Tamandua tetradactyla: one gene and its partners. Each later gene encodes a partner of the first gene's protein in a complex. Links are inferred from orthologs where the notes say so. Each region holds a gene or a part of one and is shown in the gene's direction. Other genes may lie near its edges. The genes, in order: PPP2CA, PPP2R2A, PDCD10 and PPP2R5D.

What was found.
Region 2: the proteins of PPP2CA (region 1) and PPP2R2A are in contact, whole or in part, in a cryo-EM structure (PDB 9C6B), measured with the Homo sapiens proteins. The link is inferred for Tamandua tetradactyla from reciprocal best matches to the Homo sapiens genes PPP2CA and PPP2R2A. Residues at the interface, in NP_002706.1 of Homo sapiens: Arg89, Tyr91, Val126, Tyr127, Gly128, Asp131, Arg135, Cys266, Tyr267, Arg268, Arg295, Pro298, His299, Val300, Thr301, Arg302, Arg303, Thr304, Pro305, Tyr307, Phe308; in NP_002708.1 of Homo sapiens: Tyr86, Leu87, Lys88, Ser89, Ala173, Asn174, Ala175, Glu190, Asn201, Leu202, Trp203, His204, Ile207, Thr208, Asp209, Arg210, Ser211, Phe212, Asn213, Ile214, Val215, Asp216, Met256, Ala260, Leu261, Asp263.
Region 3: PPP2CA (region 1) and PDCD10 share a complex: the UniProt entries of both Homo sapiens proteins name them as parts of the core of STRIPAK complex. The link is inferred for Tamandua tetradactyla from reciprocal best matches to the Homo sapiens genes PPP2CA and PDCD10.
Region 4: the proteins of PPP2CA (region 1) and PPP2R5D are in contact, whole or in part, in a cryo-EM structure (PDB 8U1X), measured with the Homo sapiens proteins. The link is inferred for Tamandua tetradactyla from reciprocal best matches to the Homo sapiens genes PPP2CA and PPP2R5D. Residues at the interface, in NP_002706.1 of Homo sapiens: Arg89, Tyr91, Arg121, Gln122, Ile123, Gln125, Val126, Tyr127, Gly128, Tyr130, Asp131, Leu134, Arg135, Ala140, Trp143, His191, Trp200, Arg214, Ala216, Leu243, Met245, Tyr265, Tyr267, Arg268, Cys269, Arg302, Arg303, Asp306, Tyr307, Leu309; in NP_006236.1 of Homo sapiens: Ile80, Lys82, Asn188, Pro189, Ala192, Glu193, Phe194, Asp195, Glu198, Asp199, Glu200, Ile288, Tyr289, Glu290, Glu292, Lys332, Val333, Lys334, Lys367, Phe368, Trp369, Pro370, Lys371, Thr372, His373, Ser374, Pro375, Lys376, Ser413, Pro414.

Annotation. Positions count from the first base shown.
Region 1 is NC_135346.1:13,268,862-13,276,131, reverse strand, and holds the start of PPP2CA (serine/threonine-protein phosphatase 2A catalytic subunit alpha isoform), read left to right. Parts: upstream 1-4,264; 5' UTR 4,265-4,626; coding exon 4,627-4,728; intron 4,729-7,270. UniProt on the Homo sapiens protein: Catalytic subunit of protein phosphatase 2A (PP2A), a serine/threonine phosphatase involved in the regulation of a wide variety of enzymes, signal transduction pathways, and cellular events.
Region 2 is NC_135329.1:27,163,414-27,170,537, forward strand, and holds the start of PPP2R2A (serine/threonine-protein phosphatase 2A 55 kDa regulatory subunit B alpha isoform), read left to right. Parts: upstream 1-4,106; 5' UTR 4,107-4,110; coding exon 4,111-4,147; intron 4,148-4,573; coding exon 4,574-4,648; intron 4,649-7,124. UniProt on the Homo sapiens protein: Substrate-recognition subunit of protein phosphatase 2A (PP2A) that plays a key role in cell cycle by controlling mitosis entry and exit. Involved in chromosome clustering during late mitosis by mediating dephosphorylation of MKI67.
Region 3 is NC_135331.1:64,792,536-64,799,555, reverse strand, and holds the start of PDCD10 (programmed cell death protein 10), read left to right. Parts: upstream 1-3,999; 5' UTR 4,000-4,236; intron 4,237-7,020. UniProt on the Homo sapiens protein: Promotes cell proliferation. Modulates apoptotic pathways. Increases mitogen-activated protein kinase activity and STK26 activity. Important for cell migration, and for normal structure and assembly of the Golgi complex.
Region 4 is NC_135331.1:100,572,214-100,579,559, forward strand, and holds the start of PPP2R5D (serine/threonine-protein phosphatase 2A 56 kDa regulatory subunit delta isoform), read left to right. Parts: upstream 1-4,331; 5' UTR 4,332-4,447; coding exon 4,448-4,474; intron 4,475-7,346. Other genes in the region: PEX6 (peroxisome biogenesis factor 6), read right to left, coding at 195-1,082. UniProt on the Homo sapiens protein: The B regulatory subunit might modulate substrate selectivity and catalytic activity, and might also direct the localization of the catalytic enzyme to a particular subcellular compartment.

The DNA of each region.
Region 1 (7,270 bases):
CATTATCCAGTCATCTTCAAGAAACATGGCTACTAGAACACAGCTCTACATTTTCAGGCAGTTCCCTCAAGCCTCTCCATTACATTTTGACTAATGAGGTGGTATCTATTGAATGCGTAAGAATAACCTCCAGGATAACCTCTCCACTCTGTTTGGAACCTCTCAGCCATTGACACTTTATTTTGTCTCATTTCACTTTTCCCCCTTTTGGTCGAGAAGGTTTTCTCAATCCCCTGATGCCGAGTTCCAGCTCATTCTAGGATTTCTGTCCCATGTTGCCAGGAAGGTCCACACCCCTGGGAGTCAAGTCTCACATAGACGGGGGAGGGCAGTGAGTTTGCTTGTTGTGTTAGCTGCAGAGAGAGGCCACATCTGAGCAACAAAAGAGGTTCTCTCGGGGGGGGGGGGGGGGGGTGACTCTTAGGGTTAATTTTAAGTAGGTGTGACCTATCCTTTGTGGGGTTAAGTTTCATATGAACAAATCCCAAGACTGGGGGCTCAGCCTATTGCTTTGATTGTCCCCACTGCTTGTGAGAATATATGATAGGATTTTTCATAAGCTGCAGAACTGGTGACAGTATTTTTATGGTTTACCCAGCCTACTGAAGTAGTGAACTTCACCTTTCATTTCTGAGTTTTTTTTTTTCTGGAACAGATAAAAATATTTCCGTGTAATTCTGACTGGTATTTGGATGTCATAGGCATCACCAGGGGATATGGTCATATTTCTCTCTCTCTCTTTCTTCAAGCCAAACTTCAGTAGCTAGGGGAAAGGGCTGTATTATATCTTTGTCAAATTTCCTCACACAAAATTTTGACCACATTTATTAAATTCTAAATCCAGTTGAAAGGGCAACATCAACTTACTTTTTCTTGAAAACCACAAAGGAGAGAAATAGGAATAGATAGTAATGCATTACAGCATTGTTGTGAACGTTGAATGCAGGAATCTTCTGACAGTTGGGCAGGCACACATGGCCAGAGCTTGCCTGGTTTCTTACGATCAGGGCCACTAAGATGTGGATTGTTCAGATCTTTATTTGGAGCTTCTGGAGCTTGGAAGGGTTTGGTGCAAAGGGCATTTTATCCTTTTAAGATATAACACACTTTTCTGATATAAGATTCGGAGACTGACCAACTGTATTAATTCTTGGATTTACTCTCAAATGACTTCCTATATACAACAAGCCTTCTCAATGTCTGCTTGATGGTGTTCCTTTTTGTTTCATCTCCACCTCTCCTTCCTTCAATCTCCTCCCCCATCCCTACTTTGTCTCTACTTGGCGTGTTTTTGATATCCTTTCATTCTGTTTCCAAAGACCACTAAGTATTTCATTATGTAGAAGGCAGGCAATGAGAGGCTCCAGCTGACATTAAAAGGTATTTAGAATTACAGACCACTTGGAAATAATAATAATATCTAGGGTATTTATGATACACCCCCTAACCCTTACAGTTTCATTTAATTCTCAGAACAGCACTTTTATTTGGCAATTACAACTATTTTGATTTTATAGATGAGAAAACTGAGACACAGAAAAGTTAAGTGACTTGCCAAAGGTCGCCCTGCTAAGAAGTTGCAGAACCAGAATTCAATCCTAGGTTCACTGGACTCCAGAGCCATTGCTTACCTATACTGCTCTACTTTGTGTCTCAGTAAGTACAGAGGTCAGGGAGCTGGACCAACAACAACAAAATAGGCCTAAGTTAAGGCCAAGAGAATTCTTTCTCTATGTTTAATGTCAATTTTTATATCTTAGCTAAGCCTGCCTGTTACACAGTCATTTGCTCAAGGTTATCCTCCCCCTACCCTGCCCCCGTCATCAGATGGTTTTTATTTATAGCCATGTTTAAACATCAGAGGCAACATTCAGACTCTCTGTATACTGAATTTGTTATCTGAGCAAAGATTGTTCCTCAAACCATATTTGCTTTATTTGTTCTCTGCTTTTTTGCCAAGAAATTAAAAGGACAATTCTTTTTGGTTTGCTTTAAAATTTTTGTTTCAAATAGTCCTCATTTCTAGAACTGAGTCAGTGAAGTCAAATCAGTCAAGTTCAAACTAGTCAAACTGAATTTTCAGATCCATCAGTTACTTTGAGTCCCACAGAGTTAAGAATATTCCAGATTTCTTCTAAAGGAAAAAATATTCTGAATAATTTAGTTTTGTACTGTTTATAATCATGTATGCTTTACTTCACTACATGAATACTAATGAGAGCTTCCTAAAATTCATTCCTTAAGAAGTTAAGTCATGGCATCTAATTATTTGGCAGGATGTCTTAAGTACATATAATTACATCTTCCCTCCACTTTATGGTGTTGGTGAGCCAAGAGATCTGCATCAAGAGAAAAGAACACCTACATTTATGCTATCAACAAGGATTTCAAAGTACTTTAGAAAAATCCACTCATAATCTTAGCACAAGGTAGGTGCTTAACATTTGTCTAATCTACCAAACTAACACCACCCTCACCTTTCTAGGTAAGAGAACTGCAGACAAAGGGAAACTGGATGGACCCTGTTCCATATTTCAGCCCTTGGAAGATCAGCTGAGCGAATGTGGACAACACCCTGCACTTGGGAGTATGAAGTTTCACATCTCGATCACTACCTGGGGCAAGTTCCTTTTCTGAGTGGCTGCCTGCTTCTTGCCGATCAGACAGGATCAGTTCTCACAGAGAAAGAGAGCAGTGATGAGGGATCTGATGAGACAGCACGCTGGGCATGGCTTTTAATCATGGGCACGGGTGATTTTTTTCCTTATTCATTCCACCTGGTCTTAAGTGACTATTTTTGGAGGATGTTAACTGCAAAATAGGGTCAGAATTTGGTCTAAAAAGGCTTTTCCCCAGTCTGGTAAGTATGTGATAAGCTTTCTGCAGAGATTCAAGGGACTCTTTTGGGTGCAGTAGTGGGAGGCATGACAGGAAAGCAGAATTGCAATTCCCAGCCTGGGATGGCCAAGCCAGTTAGCCTTGCCAAACACTGTCTTGGATGAAGGATTTTCAGTCCCACCTTTGGCTAATCCGGGACTCCAAGGCCTTCTTCCCAGGCTGTCGGTCGGGATGCCCTTTGAGCTGAGAGCGCTCTCCCCCGGTACAAGGCGCCGTGCTCGCGTGGGGCCTGGCTGTGTTGGGGGCAGGGGGCCTAGAAGATAGGAGACGGCTGCCCTTTCTGGCTACGTGTCCTTTGCAAAGCTTCTACCTCTCAGATTCTGGGGGCATCATAAGCCCTCTTCTGTCTCTCCTCAAGCCATTTTAAGCCGGTACTGCTGGGAAAATGCACGCTCCATCCGGGCAGCGTCCCTTGACTGTTTGAATGACCCCTCTCTCCGCAGGGTTGGTTATCTGGCACATAGTGGGCACTCTCCAAGGCCAAATATTTCTGTAAATTCTGGGACATCGGAATGTGAACACGTTTCGCAAACCTCACAGAGATTCACAATCAGACTGGGGTCCCGTCTTAGGGTATCCGGGCTTTCTGAAAAGCGAGGATCATCGCCGCGTCTGTCACCATCCGGAAGCGGTCGGAACCGACGCGTCCATCCCCGCGGCCTCCCACTCTGGGAAACAGCAAGGGCGAGCGGGAAAACTGGGATCGGAGGAAGGCGGACAATTGGGGCGAAAGGCCACGCGGGGTGTGTCCAAGTCCCGGGCAGAAGCCCAAGCCTTGGCCCCGCCACCACGCCTGACGAGACACCCAGGCCCGGGGACAGGTGTGTGCTAGGGCACTCGGGTGCACTGGGCGGCACTCCCCCAGCAGGTACACCTTCTTCCGCCTACGAGTGACCCAATTACCAGCTGCCGGCCGCGCCCAGAGTCTGGTTCACTCCAACCAGGTTGCATCTCAGCCCGGTCCCTGGCCCCACAGATACGGGAATTCCACGCAATTCCCGCGCTGTTGCAGCATGGAGGGGCCAGCGGAGTGGTCGCAATTTCCTTTCCGTGATCTGCCCGCCAGTTCCCAAGGAAACCGCTGAGGCGTATTACCAAGCCGATCTCGGCAAGAGAAAACTCAGGCAGCTCTGGAGTCCCCCCTCCCACACGGACTGCGCCTGCGCCGAACTCGGCGCCGGCGCCTCGCGGGGCGTAGACCTCGGGAAAATGCCCTGCTCGCCTCTGCAAACACTGCGCTCGCTCAGACTCGGTTCTTCCCCGCCTCCCCGAACTCCATCCCACTCCCACCCTCTCTGAGAGGCCACGCCCTAAAAGCGAAGGTGCCTCACTTATCAGCCGGCGACTTTGCGCCTGCGCCTTGGTTCCTAGTTACCGTCACACTGGGCTTTTGCGGTCAGCCAGCGTCCGATTTGCAGTTGCGCAGCTCGGGTCCCAGCCCTTTTCCCCTTCGTACCTCGCCGCGTCTGACGCCGGGCGTGACGTCACCACGCCGGGCAGCCGCCATTACAGAGAACCGAGCCCCGGCGCTAGAGCGAGAAGGGGAGGAGGCGTAGCGGCCAGTGACCGACAGTGCGGAAAGAGCCGGCAGACCAGCTTTAGGGTCGAGCAACCGCACACAGCCCCAGTAATATCCCGGGAACCGGCGGCAGTGTGTGCGGTTGGCCCGTGTGCGGGCTGTGGCGCGGGAGTAGCGCGGAGGGGCAGCCGGTTCGGGCGGGTGGCATCATGGACGAGAAGGTGTTCACCAAGGAACTGGACCAGTGGATCGAGCAGCTGAACGAGTGCAAGCAGCTGTCGGAGTCCCAGGTCAAGAGCCTCTGCGAGAAGGTAAGCTGGGCTTCAGCTTCGGGAACCGCCGCGGGGTGAGCCCACGGAGGAGGCGGCCGCCGGGAGGGGGCAACATGGCGGAGGCAGCCGTCCCGGGCCCCCAGCTCCTCCCAGACCGGCTCCCGGCGCGGCCCGGCGGCGGCTCCGGAGGACCCGGCGCCCCCTGTCTCCCGCCCAAGGATTGGTCGCCGCCGCCGCTTAAAATGGCGCCGTTCGCCAGAAACTAGGGGTTCTGAGCCTCTTGGCCTTGGAGCCGGACCACAGTAGCTGGGGGAGCGGAGACCCTGTGTGTCGAGGTCTTGGACGATTTTAAGGTCCGGGTAGAGGGACTTGGGTATGGCGGCCTGGGAATGGGGCCTGGGCCTCTACTGTGAGGTGGTTAAGGAGTATTTTACTTGTACTTAAGCTTAATTCTCAGGTGCTGTGCTGTCCACAGAATCCCCAAAGGCAAGCTTGTCGGCCAGATCTAGGACCTTAAAGATCACAGGGCTTTAGTACCATCCCAGGTTGTTTGGATTACATTCACCAAATGGTGTTCTCCAGACACTTATTTAAAGTGCATTTTTAAGAAATTTTAAATCTGTAACCTAATTTATACCAAGGTCAAAGTGATAATTATGGGGAGGAGTATAAAATACTTCTTTACAGTTGGAAGAAAGGAAGACTTTGGTGAGTCACACTGCATAAGGAGCTTTTGGATTGGAAATCAGGTTCGGTTTAATCTGTGATTTATATGCTGACTCAAATTGGGTTGTGTGAAACCCTTCTCTAAGTTTAACATACTTGGCATTTTGCCATTTTTAAAATGAGCAATAAACTGGAAGAGCGGCAGGTTTTGAATTGTGGCTCTTTGTTGAAAAAGTTAATTCGATTTTATTTTTTTAGTGCTAGTAGTAGTAATAATAATAGCTGCGGATTGAATCTTAACTGTGTTCTCAACACATCTTGGAATTTAGATAATTTCAAAGACGTTGAAAATGGGTTGGGTGTAGTCCACTTAATAACGCTAAACTTTGTAGTTTATATTATCTAGTTGTTTTATTTGTCCTTAGGGATTGGGGAAACGGTTTGCCTAATTGTACGCGTGTTAGCTGTGTGTATTTTTAAAAGTCTTGTAACTCCGTTTTCTTAAGTTTAGAAAAGGATCACCACTTTGAATAGTTTAAACTTCCCTTTTCAGAATTAACTTTGCAGCATTTCATTTTAGTACAGAATTGTGGAATGTCATATTAGCATTTTGTATTAGTGAAAAGTTATTAGAGAGCTGTTATGCTGACTCATTAGTGGTTTGATGTGAAAATTAGGATCATGAGTTTAATGTATATGCTCCCACGACAGACTTTCTCAGAACCCATGTTGTGAATAATTGGAATTTAAGCGAATCAAATTTAGTTTATTCCAAGCCTGAACAAAGCACTGCTAGTTAGAGGTGGCACATCATCTGTTGGAGCTTTATTTTAATGGTTAGCAGTGTACTGAATATTTTGTTGCTTTTTGACTCATTTCTTTTATGTCACATAAGGTTGGTATTTGTTTAAAAGGTTTGAAATAGGCTTTCAAAAATTATTTAATGTATATTGCCCTGTCTTAATTTCTGAGTAATATAATGATTTTACTGACTTTAGGGGTTTGGTACTAACTCTTTGCAAGTCAATATTGGACTAGATGACTAGTTATTCCTGTAGAAAACATTGGAAGAGAGGTAATGATGATATAATCTGAAGACCACCCAACTGCAAGTTAGACTTGGACCCAAAAGTCCGGTTTCTGTTACTGAGTGAGTAGTTGAGACTGACCTTGGGACAACCGCTTCAGTTGGTCTTCATTTACCTGTCTATGAAATACTTAGAACAGGCATTCTAAAATCCCTTTTAATTTCCTGCGACTTTACAATTCTGTTTTATATAGTACTTTGTATTTAAGTATTGAACATCTCTTGGGTATCCACAATTGCTTACTCTTTTGAGGGGAATCAAAACAGTGAAAAATAATCATTCCTATTCTCAGGGAGCTTTGAATCTAGTTGGAGAGACAACTGTGGTGTGGGAATCAGTAAGGAGATGTACCATGGAAATTGAGGGTTTGTGTTGGAGACATGGAAGATAAAACTGGATGGCTGAGGTAGGGTGAGGGAAGCTTGATGGATTTGCTAAATGTTGTTTTCCATATCTTTATAAAACTAAGGTACCAGTGAAGTAAGCTTGTTTTCAAGTCTCCTTTGATCAGTTAGCTTGTCCACATTTTAGTTTTGAAAGCGAAAAGGATGAAAATAATATTTGAAGTGTTACATAAATGTTTCCATGGAATGACTCTTTGTGGGGGTGGAGGTGGGGGCTCTCATCACCTAGCCTTTGTGCTGTTTTTAGCTTGTAAATATTTCAACTTTTGAAACTATATCAACTTTACAAGGTAATTAATTTGAAGGCAGCTTTTTAGGTATGTGGGATGAGTTAGGATGCATAGCTTGAAATGGTTTTATACAGCATTTCTACTAAAACAAAAAATCTCTTTTACTGAAAATTTTTTTTTGCATTGGCAGGCT
Region 2 (7,124 bases), on another chromosome or scaffold:
GCAGTTACTGGTGTACATGAAGTTGGTGTAAATAAAATTGCCCCCAGAGAGTGTGTGCTTAGAGAAGGGAACCCCAGACAGAGGCCAGGGTGACAAATCACCCTAATATTTAGAGGATGGGCTGGGAAGAGGGGCCAGCAAAGGAAACTGAGCGGGGTGGCTAGAAAGACTGGGGGGAAACCAATAATATATCAAGAGAAAAAAAAACAGTCACAAGTAAGAAAGGAGTGATCCACCATTTCAAATGCTGTTGGAAAGTAGAAAAAGATAAAACAGAAAAAGGTAAAAAAACAGAAAACTATTGGCTTTGGTAACGTGGAGATCATGACCTTGACAGTGAAGTGATGGGGATGTAAGCCCGAGTGCAAAGGATGGAAGAGAGAATGTAGATAAGTAAGGGGAAACTGCCAAGAGCAAACCTTAACCTTGGGCTAGTGGGTATTCTGGCCTCTTTTCCTAAGAAGAAAAGGAAGCAGCTTGTGGTCCTCCATAGGGATTACTCAGTGTCAAAAAGTGCCAGGTCACTTATATCAGAGTGCCAGAGTGTACTGACCCTTGATAATTAGATCCATCTCAATTCATCCCATATTCATATAGTAACCTTGAAATTCTATGTAATATTCTTAGAACAGTGGCCAGCATATAGTTAGTTACTATATGAATTTTTGTTATAATTAGCCCTCTTCCCAGGCAAGATTTATTGGTTTCTAAGAAATTATTTACATTGACCAAATCATTTTCAGGGTCTTACCCATGGCAAAAACTGGAGCATAAAGAAGAAAAGTGACTTTATTACAAGAATCTCAGTCCTGTTTAGTGGTCAATTCCCTTACACTTTCTCTCCCTGAGAGTTCTGGTTAAGATGGCGATCTAGAGGAGTCTGGGCTTGAACTACCAAACAAAGGCAGAGAAAACAAAAAGGAAAACTAAGGGTACTGGCATATCCAGAGAAATACATTATGAAATCAATCGCTATAGAAGTAAACAGATATAGAGTGGATTTCAATTTTGGGTTTGTTTGTTGATAAAGTGAGAAATAATGTAGAATTGGAGGGGGCATAATATGTTCCATCTGAAGGACTTTTGGAAACTTGTTTTACAATTGAACCTTTTAGGAAACCAAGAATAAGGTAGGAGGTGGAAAAGCTGGGGAGGAGGTGTAAATATATTAATCTTCCTCTCTTTCTTTGTCTAGGAATGCCTTATCACTCCATTCAGCCTTAAGGTCAGAGTTTTAATGTTTTTGTAGGTGTTTTTCATATGTAAAATGCGGATCTGTCTCTTACAGGATTATTGCAGAGATCAAGTGAGATATGTAAAGTACCTGGCTGGTTACTGCATCATTAGGGTGTCTTTGACCAAACTGCACATCCCTTCTTGGCTGATGACCTGCTACTTTTCCAGCGTGTTCTTTTCCCCTTTCTACCTCTTAACAATATTGAAGACGCTTTCAAGACAAATCTAATAATAATGGCAGCTATCATTATTGTTTACCGTTTACTCAGTTAAACCATTTAGTCTCCAAAACATTATTATATGATAGAATTGTTATCCCGATACCACCTAGTCAGTATTTGTACCCAGGCAGCCACTCTACAGGGCCCAGTTATCTTAACTATTGATTCTATTACTTTTGCTGTACAGACCTGGGTCACTTTTCTGGCCATATTCTGCTACTAGCAAACTCAGAAACTACTCTTCTAGCTTTCAGCTTCCGAAAAGGACTCGTGCCTTAGTTCCTGGGGCCCATGCGAAGGTAATTTAATTCACCCAGATGGAGCCGGTCCAGTTGCCTCTTTCTCAGACTCGCGAATTTTCACCTTGGTTGTGCAGCGCGTCTGCTTTATGTCATCGTCCCTTTATTTCACTGACTTCAGGATTAAGCCACAGTCTTACTCTCTTAAGTAGCAACACGAGTATTTTCAAAAAAGATATAATACACTCAAGAACCCCTCCAAACCCTGCGAGTGAGCACGTGAAGCGGACAGCTGAGCCGGCCCCAGAGTCCCCGCACCCAGGCTCCTTTCACTGATCCATTCCTGAAAGTCGCGTGGGCTTCGGAAACGGTGGTGTGCAATGGGCTGCGGTTTGAGTAGTCTACGCAAAACCAGCCGGAGCGGGAGACTGGTAAGAGCCGGCGGAGGGAGCGCCGCAAGGGAACCACCATACCAGCAGCGCGTGTGCCAGGGCGCCGGGCAGGCGGGGACGCTGCGGGCGGGGAAGGACCCAGGCGCTTGAGGGGCGGGACAGGGGAGAGAGCCGGGAGACCAAGAGGGCGTGGCCGGGAGCCAGCCCGGCCGCTCCCCTGCCCCTCCCCCGCTCCTCTCCAGTGCTCACCCCGCCCCGCTCCGCCCCTTGGGCTGAGCCCCGGGCTCCACCCGCCGAGTGACGTCACTTGCCAGGCCAGCCGGCGCCATTTTGAAAGTGGAGTCGCCTGCCCCTGCCGCTGCTTCCGCCGCCGCCGCCGCCGCTGGAGAAAGAGCAAGAGCCGGGAAGCTTCAGAGTGAAATCCACCATCCTGCTGGCTGGTCTGCCCGCCCCTTCTTCCTTCTCCCCCAACCCCCGCCCCTTCCCCCACAGGTGCTATCCGCTGCCATCCGCCCTCTCTACCCCCCCATCCCCAGGTGAGGGGGGTGAGTTCAGGAAGCAGAGACCCCGAGGAACCCAGCAGGGTCACCATTTGCAGCGCAACATGGCAGGTAAAGGAGAAATCACCCTCGCCCACTGACAAGCAACCGCTTCCTCCTCCTTCCTCCCTCCATCACCCCCTAGCGACTGCCTGGGTTTCATAGAGCCACGGAGTGCTCTTCGGTTTTCTGGGAATTGGTCAAGTTGGGGTGGGGTGGGGGTGGGGAGGGTTCTGGTGAGGCGAGTCGTGGCTGTGCTACCACACTGGCTTTTAAAATAAGGGCTGGAACCCTTGCATGGGGGGTGGGTGCGCTCGGCCAGCAATGGGGTAAGGCGTGGGTGGGGTGGGGCGGGGTGGGGGCGAGTGCAGATTTGTCCGTACTGCTTTGGTGTCCGGTGTATCCTCCACCACCACCACCACCCCCATCCCCCAGGGCTTTTTTTGTATGGCTCTTCCTTCATTTAATTCTATTTCTCCCCCTGCAAACCTTCTTGGTTGGGTGTATATACAATTATATTTTGCACAGGAGAGGTAGAGTGGTTTAGAAGTCAAAATACAATGGGAACATACGTGCGTTTTTCTCCTGTGGGTACGTAAATTTTTGAGACCAATGCTCAATTTTTTACCTTGAACCATCTCCCTTTTGAATCTTAACCCTTTAAGGCCTTTAATATGGCAGGTTGCATGAAAAATGTAATTTAAACTTTCCGTTTTGCTTGTTAGCTTTTGTGCAGATGTCCTTTCCCCAAAAGGGTTTCATAGAGTTAGTTAAAATAGTGATGGAGTTCAGTGATATAAATAGCAAAAGGGAAAGATATTTGGGTTAAAGCTTGGGGAAAAAAAGAATGTATGGGGAAAACCAGGTTGGAATATTTAGTGAGGAATGGGAGTGAAGGAAGAGAGAGGTAATTGCTTGGAGGATTATTTTTGTACTTTTTAAAATTTTTGTGCTGCCAAATAACTTCATCTAATAGAATCAGTTCTAGATCTAGATTTTCTTACTCTATGCATGCAAGACATTTTCATGATTTTCTTCTCGGTGCTTGGAAGTGAAATAGAACTATTCAGGAACTCAACCAGTTTTTCCACACTTTTTTTTCAATGTGAGATAGTTAAACCTTTCAAAAAGTTTTAAAAATATTGGATCAGCTTGCATTTGCCATAGACAAGTTGCCCTTTGGCTTCGTTGAATAGTAAAATGAAATTAAAATTGTTTTGCACAAGATGATGACAAAATAGAAAAATAAAATCCTTCATAAGATCCTTTAGATTTTGAAGGATAAACTAAAGGGGGGAGGAAAAACAAACTTCCTTTGACAAGTAAAACAGCATTCATTTCGGTTTCTTTTCCTCTCTCTGTCTGGAGCCAGTGATTTGCTGGTAATGAAATGCAGAGAAATGGGTGGTGAGTGTTGTGTTTGCTGTGTGTGCGCTTTGGTGATAGGGTTCATATGAATCATTTACTTCTCACCCAGGCGGTAATGTTCCTGAAGTTTTCTCTTCGTTCTATGTTTCATGGTAGTTTAAACTTATTTACTTTCCTGCAGGCTTTTGGTACTCTTAAAGAAAAACTATTAAGCTTTTGGTATTTACTTTTTTCTGGTAGGTCATGCTTAAATGTAAAGCTTTTACTGCATTTTAGGGGAAGGGAAAAATGGAAGGAAGTTTGGAACACATGTACAATGTTAATGTTTGTACATGCCTTTAAATATTTCTTACCCGAAAGCTCTTTTTTCCTCCTCCTTTTTTTGAAAGCAATGTTATAACCAACTATTGGGGACTGATCTTTTTCCAAATTAGTACTGTGGAGTGGTGGTTATGTGTGTGGGCAGTACTAGGCTATTAGAATCATGCCAATCATGGATACCATCTCTGTGTTTATGAGAGTAAACATGAACAGAATTCTGTTTTAATTGGTATGTTTTTGTTGTTGTTGTTTTCCAGGAGCTGGAGGAGGGAATGATATTCAGTGGTGTTTTTCTCAGGTGAAAGGAGCAGTAGAAGATGATGTAGCAGAAGGTAAGAAAGTGTTTAGTAATGCAAAACTTGAGTATAGAATTTTTTCAAATCTTGTTTACTGAAGGATTTCCTTGAAGCTGAGTCTGTAATAGTTTAAGAACATTTCGTGTTTATTGTCTGAGAAATGGGAGAACAATTTTAAAAGTTACCTTTCGAGAAAATAGTCTTGACTCTTTAACACCTTTTTTGTTTTTTTATGCCTTGTTTTGTTATTATTTTCCTGAATTAAATGAAAGGAGCAAAAAATAAATAAATAAATGAAAGGAGCAGTAGATGATGATGTATGTAAAACCATCACAAGAAAAATCTAAGGTTCCTAGGATAAAGGTTTCCTTGCTATATACATTCTACATACAAATAAATGGTTTTAATGTTTGTACCTTGTTTTTAGATAATTAAGTTGAAATAGGTGCTTTCACCGGTTAGCTCAGAACATTATTGACAGCAGCTTTTATTTTTGTGGAAAGATTTTTAGGTTTTTTTGAACTTGGCAGTGTGGTGTTGGTTGGGATAGTCTATGAAGAAATTCTGGCTCACAGTATGCATTTTATTGTCTTGTAGAGATTAATTTAGGTGGATAAGAAAATAGCATTATGAATATATATCTGGTCTTTTGGGGAACTTATGTTTTTGTGCAGTTAGAAATTGGGCTTGATCAGTTGAAGAACTTAAGTCTCATATCCCTTTCCCACCCCCCAGAATTGTATATTAATGTATTTCAAAAATTTTAATGTTTTTGCTCTCAATCAGGAGATGGCCTTAGGCAGCGGCAGTGGAAACATTATTTCCCATTAAGTAGTTGCATTACTTTATCATCAAGAACCATTATATAAAGTTTGAATCTTAATAGTATTTGGAAATAGTATCTTACAGTAGGAATTTTCCAACAAAATTCGGTTAAATAGAAACGTACTTAACTTTAAAAAAATTTGTCTAGTGAAAATTTATACCTCTTCATTGTCTTGGTTGTATTGTCCTCAATTAAGATCATATTTCTGACCCACAATCTAGCATGTTGGGTTTGGTGGTAGGTAGATGACTTTATGTTGAGCCAGCTTTGTATTTGCTTGTGTTACTATAATTTTTAATGAAGTTTCTGATCAGAGTTTTGTGAAACCTGTGGGATGTCAACTGGCATATGTTATACCAGTAAGACTTGACAGAACACCCTCATATTTCTTTCCTGTTGTATCCTCACCTGTTTTTCAAATGAGAAACCAGCAGCTTACAGAAGTTGAGAAGCTCACCAGTAGGCCCACAAATATGTACTGTGTTTCTGGCTAAGTCTGTGGTGTTTGACTTGTTCAGAAAAATAAATCCTAAGTTCATGGGAGGAGTCATGTGTTACTCATTTTGTAACTCCATTACCTGTTGAATAGTAGGCGCTCAAATATTGGATCGTTAGTTCTGTGCTATTGTGTAATAGCCACCAAGTTAAGAAAGTGCTGTATACTTAAAGACATTCCTTCATTCAATTCCATTATCAGGTTCTAGTGGGGGCCTCCTAAGTGCTGAGCCCTGGGAGTATAAGGCATCTTGAACAAAAACCCTCCCCTTTGGGGGTTATAATTTACTTAAACATTAGGCAGAAAGACCACATGGATTTTATTTTCAATCAGAAGGAACTGATGTTCTAAATTTACCAAATTGAATCAAATGATGGTTTGTGATATATATGGTGGGTCAGTCGTAGTTCTCTTATACTTGCTGTATTTTGCTACTGATTCTTTAAATAATGAATTTCTTTTGAGTTTGTTAAGTATTATTTTAATATTCAGTGCGCTCTTGGCATCCTAAAAAAGCTGAGGCTTGTTATGTCTGTTTTAATCAAAACAGTGATTTGTCCTAGTACGTATGTCTGTACAAGTGGATTAAAGATAGAGAGCATCCAGTTTTCAAATTATGCTGCTTTATTTGCAGTAATTTTGCATACTATGATTTGTATTCCATAGTCTGTTGTTTATTTTACTAAAGGAATACTTGCTGTTTCGAAATAAGTAGGATTATTACTACGTATTTCCCCATTGGTTTAGATTATAATTTTTAAAGAGCTGATGTCTAGCTCATCCTTAAGCATAGCTTTTGCATATTCTGTTAATGATTTATATCCGTTTCTTTCCTGGTAAAGGCTCCAAGTTGTCTCTCTCTATCCATGTACTGTCCACTGCCAAGTCTATGTTTTTTTACACCATCAGTGCTTTCATTCTCTTTCTGTACCTACTTTCATTCTAGCTCAGGTTCTCAGTATCTCATCTGGATTACAGTAATTTCTTCCATGATTTGCTGATTCTTGTCCTATGTTTTCCTTCTGGGGTTAAGTACTGTCCCAATTTGGTCTTCTCAGAAATCTTCAGTTATCCACTGAATTTTGAATTAAGTTCAAACATGTAGTAAGACCACAGTGTGACCTTTCACCAACATGGCCTGTACTGCTTTAAGTTTATTTGCCAGTATGGTTTACTGTCTAGCTAAATGG
Region 3 (7,020 bases), on another chromosome or scaffold:
TAAGCACAGGAGATAAAAAAGAATATGGTCTCAAGAAAAGAGGAATACGGTCTAATAATCTATTAATTTAAAACATGCTTTTCAAACTTTTAGGACTAAATTCTTACATTAGAGAATAATATTAGAAAACTTTAGGGATGAGATTAAAGGACAAAAAAGAAAACAAAAAACCCTTACCTTTGTATAACAATTCATTTTGATTCCCAAGCAGTGTTTAACCTTAGAAGTTTCCTTAAAAAACATAAAATATACTCCTAAAAAAAGTGGCTCTTGCTCATCTTTATTGTCTCATTTCAAGGAACTCTATTATTAGGGGGAAAACATTATACTAGGTTTTTGGTTTTTTTGCCTTAAATCATATGCAAATAATAATGTTTTACCTAAAATTTAGGGTATATGCACGTGATCTTCTCTGTTTTGCTCTAATAACCCAGGCTTATTCAAAATCTTAGTAATTAATTTCAGTCTGGCTCCAGTTAAAATGTCAATGTAGGCAAGCAATGTCTCTAGAAAAAATTAGGGGGGAAAAAAAAGTCATGGAATCATAAGTATTTAACAAAAAAGCTTAAATCTCTTTTAGCTTTTCTTAAGAGTATGTTCTTCAAGCAGCTTTCTTCATACATATAACCCCTATCCCACCTCATGCACCAAAATCATTTGATCTCAAACCTTTAAGTCTTGCTTTTTGTGCTGCATACATCAGTGAATCCTCCTGTTAGAAAGAGAAACCCATGTTTCTCAATTATTCTTACTCAATAGACTTTTAGAGTCAGAATTTAAAAATTTAAAAAGCCCAGAACATACTGCATTTGAAATTAATCAAGTCTTTTGGTAAAGAATGATACCCCCAGAGCACCTTCCATTCAGGAGAGACATTCTGTACTTTATTGATTTTTCTTTCTCTTTCTCTTCATATCATGACAACCTCATCGGTATTCATACACAACTAGTAAAAATCAAGAGCAGATTAAACAGTATGCTTTTAATCTAGGTAGGGCTTTATACAAAATTCATAAACTGTCTGCCATATAGTGCAGCTCTCAGTATCAGTAACATACGATCAAGAAAAGTCTTCTGATAATCTGAAATTTAATATGAACGTCAATTTAAAACATGTCAAGAGTTCAAGGTAACAAAGAAATGCCCAAGTAGTATATATTGCCAATCATTTTCTTCCTTATCAGAACGTGGTCTTACTCTCAAGTGACATACAGGAACCCAATCTCTTTCATTGACACAATGAAAAGGATCCAAATCTTGGATACAGGCAAAAAATTCACTACTTTAATACTGCAAACTCATTCATTCCTGATGAGACTCTAGAGCTTATGATAGCTCAGAGCCGACGATCTATATATAGTTGGGATTCAAAGAACATATCAATCTCAAATTTTTTGGTATTTAATTTCTTCTTCATTTGCTTGGTTATTAAGTGATTCCCAACGAAACCCTTTCAAAAGATCTTTTAATAAGGGCTTTGAAATAACCTCACTGCTATTATTATTATTATATGGGGGAAATAACCCAGTGACAGCAACATTCAATTTCATAAAATGATCAAGAGCCGAGCCTAAGAAAGAAATTAAGACCCTAATTAAGGACAACCTATTTGACCACAAATAACAAGGGCAAACAATTTTTTCCATGCCTCACTACATTCGAATACCCACTTTTTCTCCTCTAAAATAATTTTCACAGGGTCATATCACCTATGTGAATTAATAGACTCTCCTGTGGTTAGCAAACATAAGATATGATCCTAACCAGGGCTGCTAAGTTTAGTGGTTACTGTTGCTTTTTCTTCTTTAAAGCTCTTTCCTGCTTCTAACACTTACCTGATCTGCTTATGTACTATCTAAGAGCAGGTGCTGTTCTAAGATCTTTTCTTCTCTACATATTTCTCTGGTGTGTAAATGTGTGTGGGTGGGTGTGTGTAGGAGAGGGGGACTTATGTACTAAGTCATTTAGGATATCAAACACTCAGTAGTATTCAACTTTAAGCTACCAAGAGAATTTTTTTGAGCCTTTCTGTTCTAAAAGGAATTGTGTGTTCTTGAGAAAAATAAAATTCAAAATCCTAATTAAATTAGGAGCATGAAAACAGAAAAAAATAGAAAGCAATTATTCTATTTTAACGACCCTAATTCAAGAAATCCAGATTAAAGCATTCAGACTCTGAAATATGCAATTATCACAATGAAGGCATTTCAGAGCAAAATGTGCTGCAATATGCTACTATGATTAAAAGCCATCATAATCTGGCAAACCTCTGTAACAAAAAGGAAAAAACATGAACTAGACAAGTAGCCTTTTACATAGTTTACTAAAAAGAACAAATTATAATTGTGTCATAGTTACACAAAGGTAGAGGCAACTTTCATCTTCACTTAGTGTTAAAACAGTTTAGTATTAAAACATATTTCCATCCATAAATATTTAATTACATTGAAAGAAAATGCACATGGTTTAATGCAGAGAATAAACTGTTTTAAGACATTCCGTGTTATGTCTGAACCCATCAGAACACATACTAAGATAACCATTTAGTATACCCTCTAGATAGAAAACAGACTCTCACAGTATTTTTTTTTACGCTTGTTTTTCAAATGTATAAAAATTACCAGACACAAACGAGAAAATAAAGAGCAATAAAGTACACCATATGTTTCCACTGTTAGCTGACTCTAGGTCTTTGTTCCAATATACCAGAGCCACTGGAAGGAAAGCATCCATTAAAATGCATTTTTACAGTATTGTTGGCAAAAGTTATACTTCTGGTAGGGTCAGTCGTCTTGACTATTCCTCACTGCCTTTGCTTCCTTAATACAGATCTCTTTCAATTTTAGGAACCTGCAGTACAACCTCCCTGGAAAACAGGTCAGCAACAGGACAATCTGATAAATCAACGTAAAAGGCAGAGGCTGAAGAAGAATGCAAACTTATATTCCTAATGAAGGAGTTCTGAAGTAATTCTGTATCAACGACAAAATTTTTGCTTTTTAACAGCTACGCATCTATCTAGATACAATCCACCCTGTCCTCAATTAGCAAGATTTCTTTCAATTTGGGGATCTCCCAGAACAATTTTAACGCTACAACTCAAAGCAACAACCCTAGCCACGCCCTTTACGCCCGGAGGCAAACCACCTTTTGCTTTCCCCCCGCCTCAGAGTCCAAAAATGTACCTCTTTCACCCAAAAGGGTTTGTACTGGTTTCCTAATACAAGGTAGAGACTCTCTGAGCTGTTCCTTGACATAATTCCTACTGGATGAGGCTTTCTCCGGGGCAGCGTGCGTACGTCCCGAAGCGGCACCCACGCTTACCTCCCACACACCTGCAACCCCTGGCAGGATGCTGGAGCGGATGCTCCGAGGACCGTGCTCCGCCCTTGCTCCAGCTCTCCTTTCTCCCGGGAAACTACAGTCCAGGCTGAGCCTCCGGCTTTACAGGCACCCAAGCCCCGCCTCCCCTTCTCTAGTTGGTGAATTCGGCAGCCGTGGCTCCTCCCCTTGCTGTTCCTACTGCTACCGGGGATGGAGACGGCGGGAAGCTGCAGCCCAGTACCTTCCCGCTCCCTGCACTTCTGCAGCTGCTCCGTCCCCTGCGGGACCACTCTACCCACACCCAGCGGCCTCACACCTGGAGCTGCTTCCCGCCCCGCCCGGGCGTCTTCGTGGAGAGCCCTGGCTCAGCCTATCATCGCCCCGACCCGGGTACAGCTGCTAGGGGTGCTTGGGGACTGGCTGCTCCCTCAACTACCCCGAGGCTTCCGCTCCGCTCACACGTACCCCCACCTCGGGCCCCTCCCTTCCTCTGCACCCTTCGCCCGCCCCCACAATGGGTGAGTCGCTTGCGGGACCGACCCTGCGCCCTGATTGGTGCAGGTGAGAGCTGACCCCACCCTCCGTCCCCTTCCGAGTACCCTGTCTCTTCATCTCACCTCCTCCCGCAAAGGCAGGAAACTCGCTGACTATTGGCTGGGAGTGTCCCCACCCAACGCCTTAGGCTCCTCCGCACAGGCTGCCGGGACTTGTAGTCCGATGGAGGCGGGAATTGCCGGCAAGGCCAGCAGGTGGGACTACGAGTCCCTACAGGCCCCTGCGCGACTCCGGCTGGGCAGGATTCCGGACAACGCCTGGTTCCTCTCGGGTCCTTCCGGCGTCGCCGGAGTGAATTGATCTGGGAGTTGAAGAGGGCTCCAAAGGTGGGAAGTGGAGTCGCTGCCCCAGTTGCCGGTAAGGTGTGGCTGTTCTTTCCGGGTCCTCGTAGCTCCGAGCGGAGCAGAAGGGGCTTCGGGTCACACAGGGGCCCGGGCTGAGGCGCTCAGGCTTGATTCTGGGAGGCGGAGCGGACGAGGTTGGGAGCCGGGCCCGATGGGCGTAAGCGAGGTTACCCTACGCGAGTGGCGTAAAGCGGGTTTGTAAATGCCGCCTGCCCTGTTGGGCCTGAGCGCCTCCAGGAAGTCTCCTCTAGCTGGGGGCGGGAGAGCAAGGGCGAGGTTGGCCTCTGGAACCCCAGAAGGGGGTCTGGGCGGATGTACCTGGGTGGGGTCCTCTGAAGGTGTGGCCCGGGGCGAGGAGGTGAGACTGCTTTAGAAGTGGAAAAGGGGAGGAGTGGAGGAAGGAAGGAAGGGGTGCCTGGGAGGCTGCTCCTCGGGGTGACTCGGGTTATGCCCTTTGAGGGAAGAGGAGAACCGTAGAAGGAAGAGTCAGATGTTGACAGGAATCTGCGGATTCAGTTCCAGTTTCTTGATGTTCCTCAAAGGAGGTAATTTTGTCCTAAGCAGAAAGGACTTACGGTATGTTTACCCTTTTACTGATTCACGTTCCCGTCGGGATGCTGCTGAGGAAGCAGAGTTAAATGACGTGCCCGAGGTCACACACGTAGAGGCAGATAATCTGAATCTAGTCGGCGTCCATTCAGAATTGCCGCTCTCCCGCCCCCCAAATAGCCCATTTGGTTAGGTTTTTTGAAGAGGGTGGAGGAAGTGGCGAAGTGATGTATTTTATGGTTTCTCTAAGAAGCCATTTGAGAAGTGAAGAGTTTTTTGTTTTGTTTTTTCTTTTTTAGCTAGGGTGAAATTCTTCAAAGGAAAGAAAGAATCTGTTTCAAGTTACATATTTGTATTTCCTTTTATTAGAGGTATATTCAATGATATACTGTTTTACTACAGGCTATTTTAAAGGGTATGTATGAGAACAACAGTTAAACAGTATATCCCATCCTTATGTTTGGAGGAATCTTCCTTCCCCTTCCTATCACAGGACTCACTTTACCATCATTTTCAGCATGATGGGATTAGAATTCTTTCATAAAACGACATACAATTTTTTTCAGATATGCAGTATTAAAAGAGTTTAGTGTGCTCGTTACTAGAAAAAAAGATACTCTGCATTTCTTGGAGATAACATCACATTTTATGTTTGGGATTTTTGTTTATCGTTTACCTCATTTTTTGAAGTGGCATTTTTTGAAGTGGGATGTGTGTGTGTATAAATCATAAAACCAGCCTATTATATCTTGCTTTATTTTTTTTAACATCATCTAAGACTTTTTTCTTTTTAATTAATCTTTATTTTACATTAATGAAAGAAAAACACTTTTATTTCATATTGAGCACAAGGTAGTGCGTTTTTTCCAGTCTTATTCTAAAAATAAGAATTCTAAAAATAGAATAGTCTTATTCTAAAAATAAGACCAAGTATGTCCACTTGTAGCCCATGAATATTATTATTATTGGATACTTCTTTAATAGAATTTTAGGAGTATGTTCTTTGACTTCAAGATTTCTTCATAAAGTTTGTATTCAGGAATCAACTAACTATAGGTAGCAGTAATCATGGTTTACTGTTTATAATTTGACCATCGATATATGCTGAAGTTTGAATGCCCTCTGCAACTTTAATAATATGATCAAAAGTGTGTTTAACTTTTAAATGCAAAAACTTTTTCTGCGATCAGAGGTACTCTGTTCCCCTATGATTGAAGTTAAGATGGTCTGGAAATTAATAATGACCTCTAAAATAAAAGAAAGGTATGATACTATAGAATGAAGTAATATCCAGAATAATGCAGCACCATGAATGATAATACATAGGAAAGGAAGAACCAACGAAAAAAAAATAGATGTAAGAGTATGTGGGGATAACTGGTTTAATGCTGTATTAGAAGGGTGCGGCAGTGTAAGTAGACCATAAACTGAACATGAGTCAGTGATGATAAAGCAAGTATGTTTTTAGATGGTATTGTAGACATTTGCTTTTGTTCAGAGGTTGAAGTGAGTTCTCATAGCTTTTGGCATGCAGCTAATGAGGTTGTAAAAAAAACTTTTTTGAGGTAAGTCAGGAAATTTTGGAAATAAATGAAATGTAGTGCACTTGATCTTCATTCAGTTCTAGCAATAACATATCTTTATCACTAAGGTCTAGATAGTTTTCGTATTGTTTCTTGTATGTTGGGATGGCAGAGTAAAAGTTCTCTTGTATGTGTCATCCTTCAGTCATGTGCTGGAGTACTGTGGTCATTTTGTACTTTTTCACACTGGATAATTAAGGGTTCACTGTGTAATGTGTACAGTCATATATTTTATAATCATTTACAGTTTACCAGTGTCCGTATTTCTTACCGTTTTGTGCTTTTCAGGACATCGTTTTTTACAGGACTTAAGGTGTATCTCGTTTATATCTCTTTCTAACTGGATTGTAAGGATGTAAGGTCTGTAAGAACAGGGACTATATATTATTTTATTGTTGTAATTCCTAGTAGGTAGAGTTATTGAGTCCTTGTTTCATAAAGGGAGTGAATATGCTCAGATTGTTAAAGTGACTTGCCAAAGTTCATGTAACTAGTAACTCATGGAACCAAGATATAATTCTGGTCTTCTGACTCCAGACTTTTAGTACTGTGAAGTAAAGATTCAGTTTGCTTAGATTATTTATCTTAACAGGAGAAGAAGACTTAATGTGACTCAAATATTCAAATATTAGAACCTACTCTTACTCTTTGTTTAATGCTGACAA
Region 4 (7,346 bases), on another chromosome or scaffold:
CTTCCCATGCACCATCACACTATGGAGGCTCGTGTTAGATTTGACTATGAAGAACGGATAAAGCTAAGAGACATAAATGAAGGGTTCAGGATCCTAAGGAGTAAGGGGCCTAAATTCTACAGCTCTGGTCTTCTAGTTTAGTTAAGAGGGGATAAGGAAGAGGACGCTTTCCTGATCTTGGTACAGTATCCTACCTGAATTCTGAGCTCTCCTATTTCCAGGGGGTCACAGCCAAGATTAAAAGCCAGAGTGGCAGGGACGAGAGCCATTCCCTCAGCCAGGGGCTCTCCCAGCTGTCCAGACCCGGGTCCCAGCCTCTCAGACAGGTCCCAGCGAGGCTCCAGGACCTGCATCTTGGCCAAGTGCGGCTGCGAAGCGTTCGATGTCTCTTCTGCCCGGGCGACCCATACCCACTCGCCCTGGAAGAGGCCAAGACCCCGGAGACAGCTCCTGCTCACCCCCAGTGAGTCTCCGGTCCCTCCCAGAACTCCCCGAAGTCGCCGGACTGTGCCAAGAGCTGCGAAGGAGGACACCACCGGCGGGGGTGGGGGCCGGCAGACGTCTTCAGTCTCCGGGCCCGGTCTGGCCCGCCCGCGCAGCTCCGTCACAGCCAGTCGCGTCCCCGGGCCCAGTAGCCCTTGCAATGCCGGCCGCGTCTCCAGCACCCGTGGTCCGGGCGCAGGGAGGACCTCTCCGCGCCTCACCAGTAACTGCCCAACCCGTGGCACGAGCCCGGGCCCCGGCGAGGTGCCAAGCAGCGCCCAGCCCAGTGCCGGAGGCCGCCGCACCGACCGCGCTCGCACCCACGCCCCGGAGCCCAGTGCCAGGAGCTGCAGCAGCGCGCGGCTAACCAGCAGCTCCGGGGGCCCTGAGCCTGAGCCCTGCTCTTCAGTTCCCGCGCCCGGCCTCTCCAGGGCCGCCACTAGCAGCGCGGGCCCTGCCGGGCTCTCCCCTGCAGGTCGCAGGGCCAGCACCAAGCCTAGCCCCGCCGTAGGCCAGGGGCCCCCGGGTGGCAGCAGCACCGCCAACGGGGGCGTTTCGGTAGGGAAGGGCTCCAGAACTCGCAGCACCGCCAGCGCCATACTGACAGGAGTCCAAACAGGAAGGCGAAAGATCGCGGCTTCCGGAGCCAGCAAGCGGGGCGACGCAACGACGTGTGCGCCGCTTCCGCTTCCACTTCCATTTCCGTCAAGGGAGGCGAGAAGAAAGCGGGAGTGGGTCGCGTGCGGCGAGCATGCTCTGAGAGGGATGCGCGGCGCCTTGAATTAATTGATCAGGATGGTGACTTGATGGCAGTAACCATTAACGCGGCGGTTGCGCAGCCTTTACGCATGCGCCCTTTGAGCCTATGTTTACAGGAGTTTACGTTCCGTACCTTTTAGAAGAGTAACGTGCTCTCCGCTTTACAGTTTATTAATTGACCAATGAACAACCAGCGTGTCTGAACTTGGCTTGGTACTGGGATCTGTGGGTGGAGTGTTTGGGGAGTCCATCCTCCTGTGAGCGCCCGCAGTGGAACCGCAGGCACTGAGGTTTGGGAATTGGGACGATTGCAGAAGGAAGTGGTAGGGTTATAAAACTCTGTCTTAGACCTGCTTATGGATATGTAGTGGTTGCTGGCTGAAATACTACATGTGATTCATGTAGTTCTGGAGTGCTTGGTGCTGCCACACCTGTTCCAACAGACATCCTACACAAAACCCACGTTCCAACGTTTCTTGTCCTGTTCATTGTCTTGTTCGTTCTACTCCCACAAGAATGGAAGCGAAGACAAAGCTGCATTGCTCTTTCATCTCCCCCCAACCAGTTGCTCTCCCCCACCAACCTTCACAGACTGGAGCCCATTCCGTTTCTACCTTAGAGGAGGCAGAGAGAGCAGCAGAGCAGGCCTAATTATGGGAGGGGGTCGAAGCTTCTGTCATAAGCACGGAGCACCAAGCCTGCTTCCCACTTGTGCTGTAACTTAAATTCCATCCTTGTGTCCACCCCCACTGCTCTGTACAAGACAGTCAGACACTGGTAAGCCACACATTTGCAATTATTACTATATTTGCACTGAACGTCAGTGGATTGAATGGTGGGAATTTACTTTCTGAACTTAGCAGTCTTTTCTAGCTGCTGCCCAGCTATCTCTTTTCCTTAACAGCTAAACATTGTGAAGCAGTCTTCTACTTTGTAGATTATGCACTCCTGAAAAAAAAAGTTTGAAAGTCAAATATCTGAAAGTTGAATATTAGATGTGCATGTTATGAGAAATATCTGTCCCCAGAAAGGGAAGAAAAAAAAAACTTAAAAAGTTGTTTACCGCCACATCTATACAAAAGTGTTCATGAATTTAAGTACCTGGATTTCATGGATGAAAGTTCCCCTTTGGTAGCATTAAGCTATATGTGGCTCTGTCCCCTGCATACCAGTGGTACCAAGGACTGGGAGAGTGGAGGGGAGGTAGGCAGGCAAGGAAGATACCTGCTTTACACAGAAGCAGGCAAACTCTAGGCCTCAGGGCTGTGATGCTTCTTGGAGTCTTGCAGATGGGTAAATATATCTGGCATCCTGCCTGGAGTCCCATTACCCATATCGACACAAATACCCCTCCACAAATAAATGTCCTTTCCTCCTAGGCTTATCCCCCAGTAAATAATGGCATGCCATCATTTTGCTCACTTTTAAATCATCATTAGTCATAGAAAAGTCAATCAAGTTCTGTAAGTAGCCTGTATTTGCCATCTTTACTTTCCTACTTCTTGCTCACTCTTCAATTCACCATAATCTTGCTTCTACTCCTCTGAAACTCCCCTGGTGAAGATCACCCATAACTTCCCAATTGTAGAATCCATGGTCTGCTGTTTGATCTTTATCTTATTCAACCTTTCTAGAATCTAACACTATTAACCAGTCCTCTTTCCTGAAAATATTTTATTCCCTTTGCTGTCATGACACCAGCTTTCCTCCTACGTCTCTGGGATGTCTGAAGTCATCCTCAACTCCCTCCTTTCCTTTACCACCCCCCATAATCCAGTGCATCATTGTTGGATCCTACATATTGCCCAATTCCAACTCCTCCACCCCCATGGCCACTGTACTATAGCATTGCTCTCCTGAGCAAGGACCACGGCTTATTCTTTTATTTTATTTTATTTTTTTAAATATCAAAAACACCAAACAAACACAAACATTCCTATTTTGATCATTCCATTCTATATATATAATCCATAATTCACAATATCATCACATAGTTGCATACTCATCATCATGATCACTTCTTGGAACATCTGCATCTATTCAGAATAAGAAATAAAACGAAACACAGGCTTATTCTTGATGAACCTTCTCCAATTTCTTCATATAACCAATCTGCTGCTGAAGTGGCCTTTCTGAAACATATGTCTTCAAGCCTCTCCTAGGCTTGTGTAGTTGGTCGATCACATTGTATCTTTTTTTTTTTTTTGCATGTGCAGGCACCAGGAATCCAACCGGGCCTCCAGCATGGCAGACAGGAATCCAGCCAGGATTGCACCACCCTATCACATTGTATCTTAATCATCTGTTTTTACAAATCTGTGAATGCCGCCGAACTGTGCACTCCTTGAGGTCAGGAAATGAGTCTAATGAGTCTTATCCATAAAGTCACTGGCTTGGGCAGGATGGAGGGAAGGGATGGATTTCTTGAGACACTGGCAATGGAGTTGCTTTTCTGTCTTGTCAACTGCTCAAGTCTAGCTGATTCCCCAATCTCAAAACATTTGCAGTAGGAATTGGCGACCCACTTCCCAAAATTGGAATGAAGTCGGGATGAGAACCCTAGATGGCAGCCAGGTCAGGTTCTTCTGCAGTTCCCGTCCAGGGAGGCAGACACCCTCAGAGGTCTCTTGGGACCACTCTCTACTAATTTTGCTCATGCAATTAAGCGCTGCTTTGCTCCGATGAAGGAAACTGCCCTTCATTTTAGGGCTTCTTTCTTTCAATTCAGACTGGGCAGGTTAGCAGAGTGGGGAAAGTGTGAGAACCACTTCTGGAAGGAATAAGCAAAGCTCCAAAGGCTGCGAAGAATGGCCAAGGCCGACGCACACCGTACGCTGGAGTACTGCACTCGGAGCCAAGCCTGGGTTTCCCCTTACCCCCGCCTCCTTCGCTAAGCTCGACCCACTTTAAGGCGGGACCTCCCACTTCAACCAATTCTGGGAGCTGAACCCTGGCGGTTTGTACTCTTTCTTTCCAATGGGAAAAAAAGGAAGCAGCTTGGCTCCAATGGCCAATCCGAGGAGGCGGCGCCGGGTTGTCAGGCAGGTTTGTAAGAGTTCGGGCCAATTGGAGGCGCAGACACCTCTCGACCGGGGCGCAGCGCGCAGGCGGTGGCAAAGAGACGGCGGAGCGGGCCGAGTGCGGCCGAGCAAAGCCGGGGCCGGAGCGGGGCCGCAGGAGCCGGGCTGGGTCCGGACGGGCCGAGATGCCCTATAAACTGAAGAAGGAGAAGGTGAGCGTGGTCCTTTCCCCCGCGCCTCCGCCTTGGGGCCTGCGCGGAGCTCTGGGAGGGGCCCGAGCCAGGCCCGGGACAGCCCAGACTGACCCTCCCGTCTGGCCCCCGCAGGACTCCCCGGTCCAGCCTGTCGCCCCGCGGCTCGCAGCACCACCAGCCTGTGCCGCAGCTGGGACAGCTCCCCTACCTTGGCCGGAACCCATTCCTCTCAAATACACCTCCCACTCTTCCTCCTGCCTCCTATCCCCGGCCCCGGGTAACCTCCTCCCTCCAGATCTGCCCCACTCCCAGGTCACTCCCTTGCTTTTTCGCCCCCGCCCCTTCCTCCCAACCTTCCCCCTCCGCCCCACACCCGTTAGGGACAGCCCCACTCATCTGAGAAAGCACCTCGCTCCAGATCTACCCCCTCCCCCTTGCAGAGCCCCTTCCCTTCTCTTTTCACCGCCTAGATGGCCTCCTTCTCTCTCTGCGCCAAGCCCCCTGACCCAGGAGGCAGGTTTCTCTCTCTTCCACCCGAATCTGGACTAGGCCCCTCCCTCTAGTTCTTCACACACAAACTTGTGAGCCCTTCCTTCTGTGGATGGAGCCTCAGAACGTCAGCACTGGAAACGACTTCTCAGCACCGGCAGTCCAGCCTCTAGTGGGACAGATGAGGGGACTGAGGTCCTGGGATGGGACTTGTCCAAGGTCACACAGACTGCCGGAAGCAGAGCTGCAGTATCGGGTCTCCTGACCTAAAGCCCCCCACTCCCAACCCCAGCAGTTATCAACTGGCTCCCAGATTCATCCTAGACTAGTCATCCTTTCTAATCTGAGCAGGCGCCTCCCCTTATTCCTAATCCTAGGATAACCTTTGCATTTTTAATTTTTGCAGCAGTGCTGGATTTCTGTCTTTCCTGGGTCACACTGTTCTCAAATCAGGAATCGGTCTCAAAGTCAGATTAGTTTTCCTTCTTACCCCCATGGGTCAGCCACCCGTGGACACCCATGCCTTTGTCATGGTGTCTTGACACAAGCCATTTCTTGATGTTGCCTTCTTCCACCTTCCTCTTCTTGAGCCATATCACCTTTCCCTCTTCCTCATCCCTGCTTTTTTCTACCCTCTGTTTCCTGCTGTTGCTGTTGGTCTGACTCAGAGGTGTGGTTCCTTTGAGGTACAGACTCACACAGAGGATGCTAGAATACCAGTTCCAGCCACCCCCAGCTTCTCCTCCCCTGGGACCGGCCCCTCATGGTGGGGCTGGCTCTGGCCTGGTGTTCTGGCTGCCCGCTTTATGACCCCAGAGGTGTATTGCTTTCATTTGCTTTCTGATTGGATTGGCTAAGTTGCTAGGCTGCCATCTCTAGGACCTTATCAATCAAACTCTATCCTGGGGCTATTGGAGATTTGCCAGGCAGCTGTGATTCTGGGTTGTCCCCATAACCTCTTGGCCTGAGGTTTGGAATATGGGTTTGGTGATAGTATAATAGCTACTAAACCTCCTGGGGTGCTAGCTGGGCAGGATTGTGTGCCCCTGTCCTTGGGGAGTGGGCATGCAAGGTGATTGGGGCAGCTTAGCTGTAGATGATGCACATAAAGGTCAGCCACACTAGGGGCTCCTTCAAGGAATGTGGAAGGGAGCAGAACTCAGTTGAGGTCCCCGCCATTGATAGCTTTTACTCTGATGGAGCAGATACTGTCCTTTCCACAGAGAGCTGTTGCCTACTGGATAATTGAAAAGAAGAAAAAGTCTTAATTAGACTTGTGAGGGCCACGGTATAAGTATTTGATTGAGAAAGGGTGTTGGGATCAGGTGCATGCAGCCAGGCATAACGCTGATTCCCTTTCAGGTTTAACTTTCAGCTTGATTTTTGGCTGCATTTGGCCTCCTTCAATAGTTGGTAAGTCCTGAGGGAGGAGGGAGGTAAAAATGAGACTGAGGTTTGCCTGGATGAGGCTGGGCAGAAAGAGTGGCCAGTGAGTAGAGGATCTTCATTGCTCACACATCACTTCTCCTCTCTCCTTCATCTCTCCTAGTCTCAATCCTGGCCATCCTTACAGTCTCCTCCCTAAAGTCTTGTCAGTCTTCAGTTGGGAGTGAACTCTCCCTCATCCCCTCGATTTGCAGAACACTTGATAGGCAGCTTATGGACTGGAATTTATTGTGGACAAATTTTTTCTTCCCCCTTGAGATAAACACCATTTTGGTTTTAGCATCTCCCTTGCACACAGTAGGCTGTATGTGGATAGGTGCTGAGTCAGTCTTGGGGAGATTTTCATCCCTCCCCTTCCCTCTTTTTCTGACCTGGGATTTCTCTTATTTAGGTTCCTGGGTAGAGTATCCCTGTTCCCTCCCATTTTCTTCTTGTTCATAATAACAATAATAGTGACCAACCTTTAGAGTTCTTACATGCCAGGCACTCTGTAAGGGAGGTAGGAACTGTGTATGTCACCGTTTAATGGATGAGGAAACTGAGGCTCAGGGAGGCTAGTTAACTTGCCCATGATTATACAGCTAGGAAAAGTTGGACCCAGAACATAAGGCTGACTCCCAAACCCATTTTTTTAAAACCATGGGGCTCCCCAGCACTTGTGCATGGCCAGGCTGAAGTACATACATACCTGTTTCCAAGACCCAGGAAACAAGGGTGACAGGCCTAGTTTCCCCACATGCACACACACTCACTCCCACACTCACCCTGCTTCAAGGGCAGCAAGAATATCTCTTAGGTACCTTCCCTGAGGGATACGTCTGAGGCATTGTGGTAAGTGCCTAAGGTTGGTGGAGGGGGACAATAAAGAATAAGGAGCTTATGATCAAGTAGAGAAAAAGAGAAATCAAACGTGTGTGCAGATGGGTCAGCCCTGTTGGAGAAGCCCATGACTGGG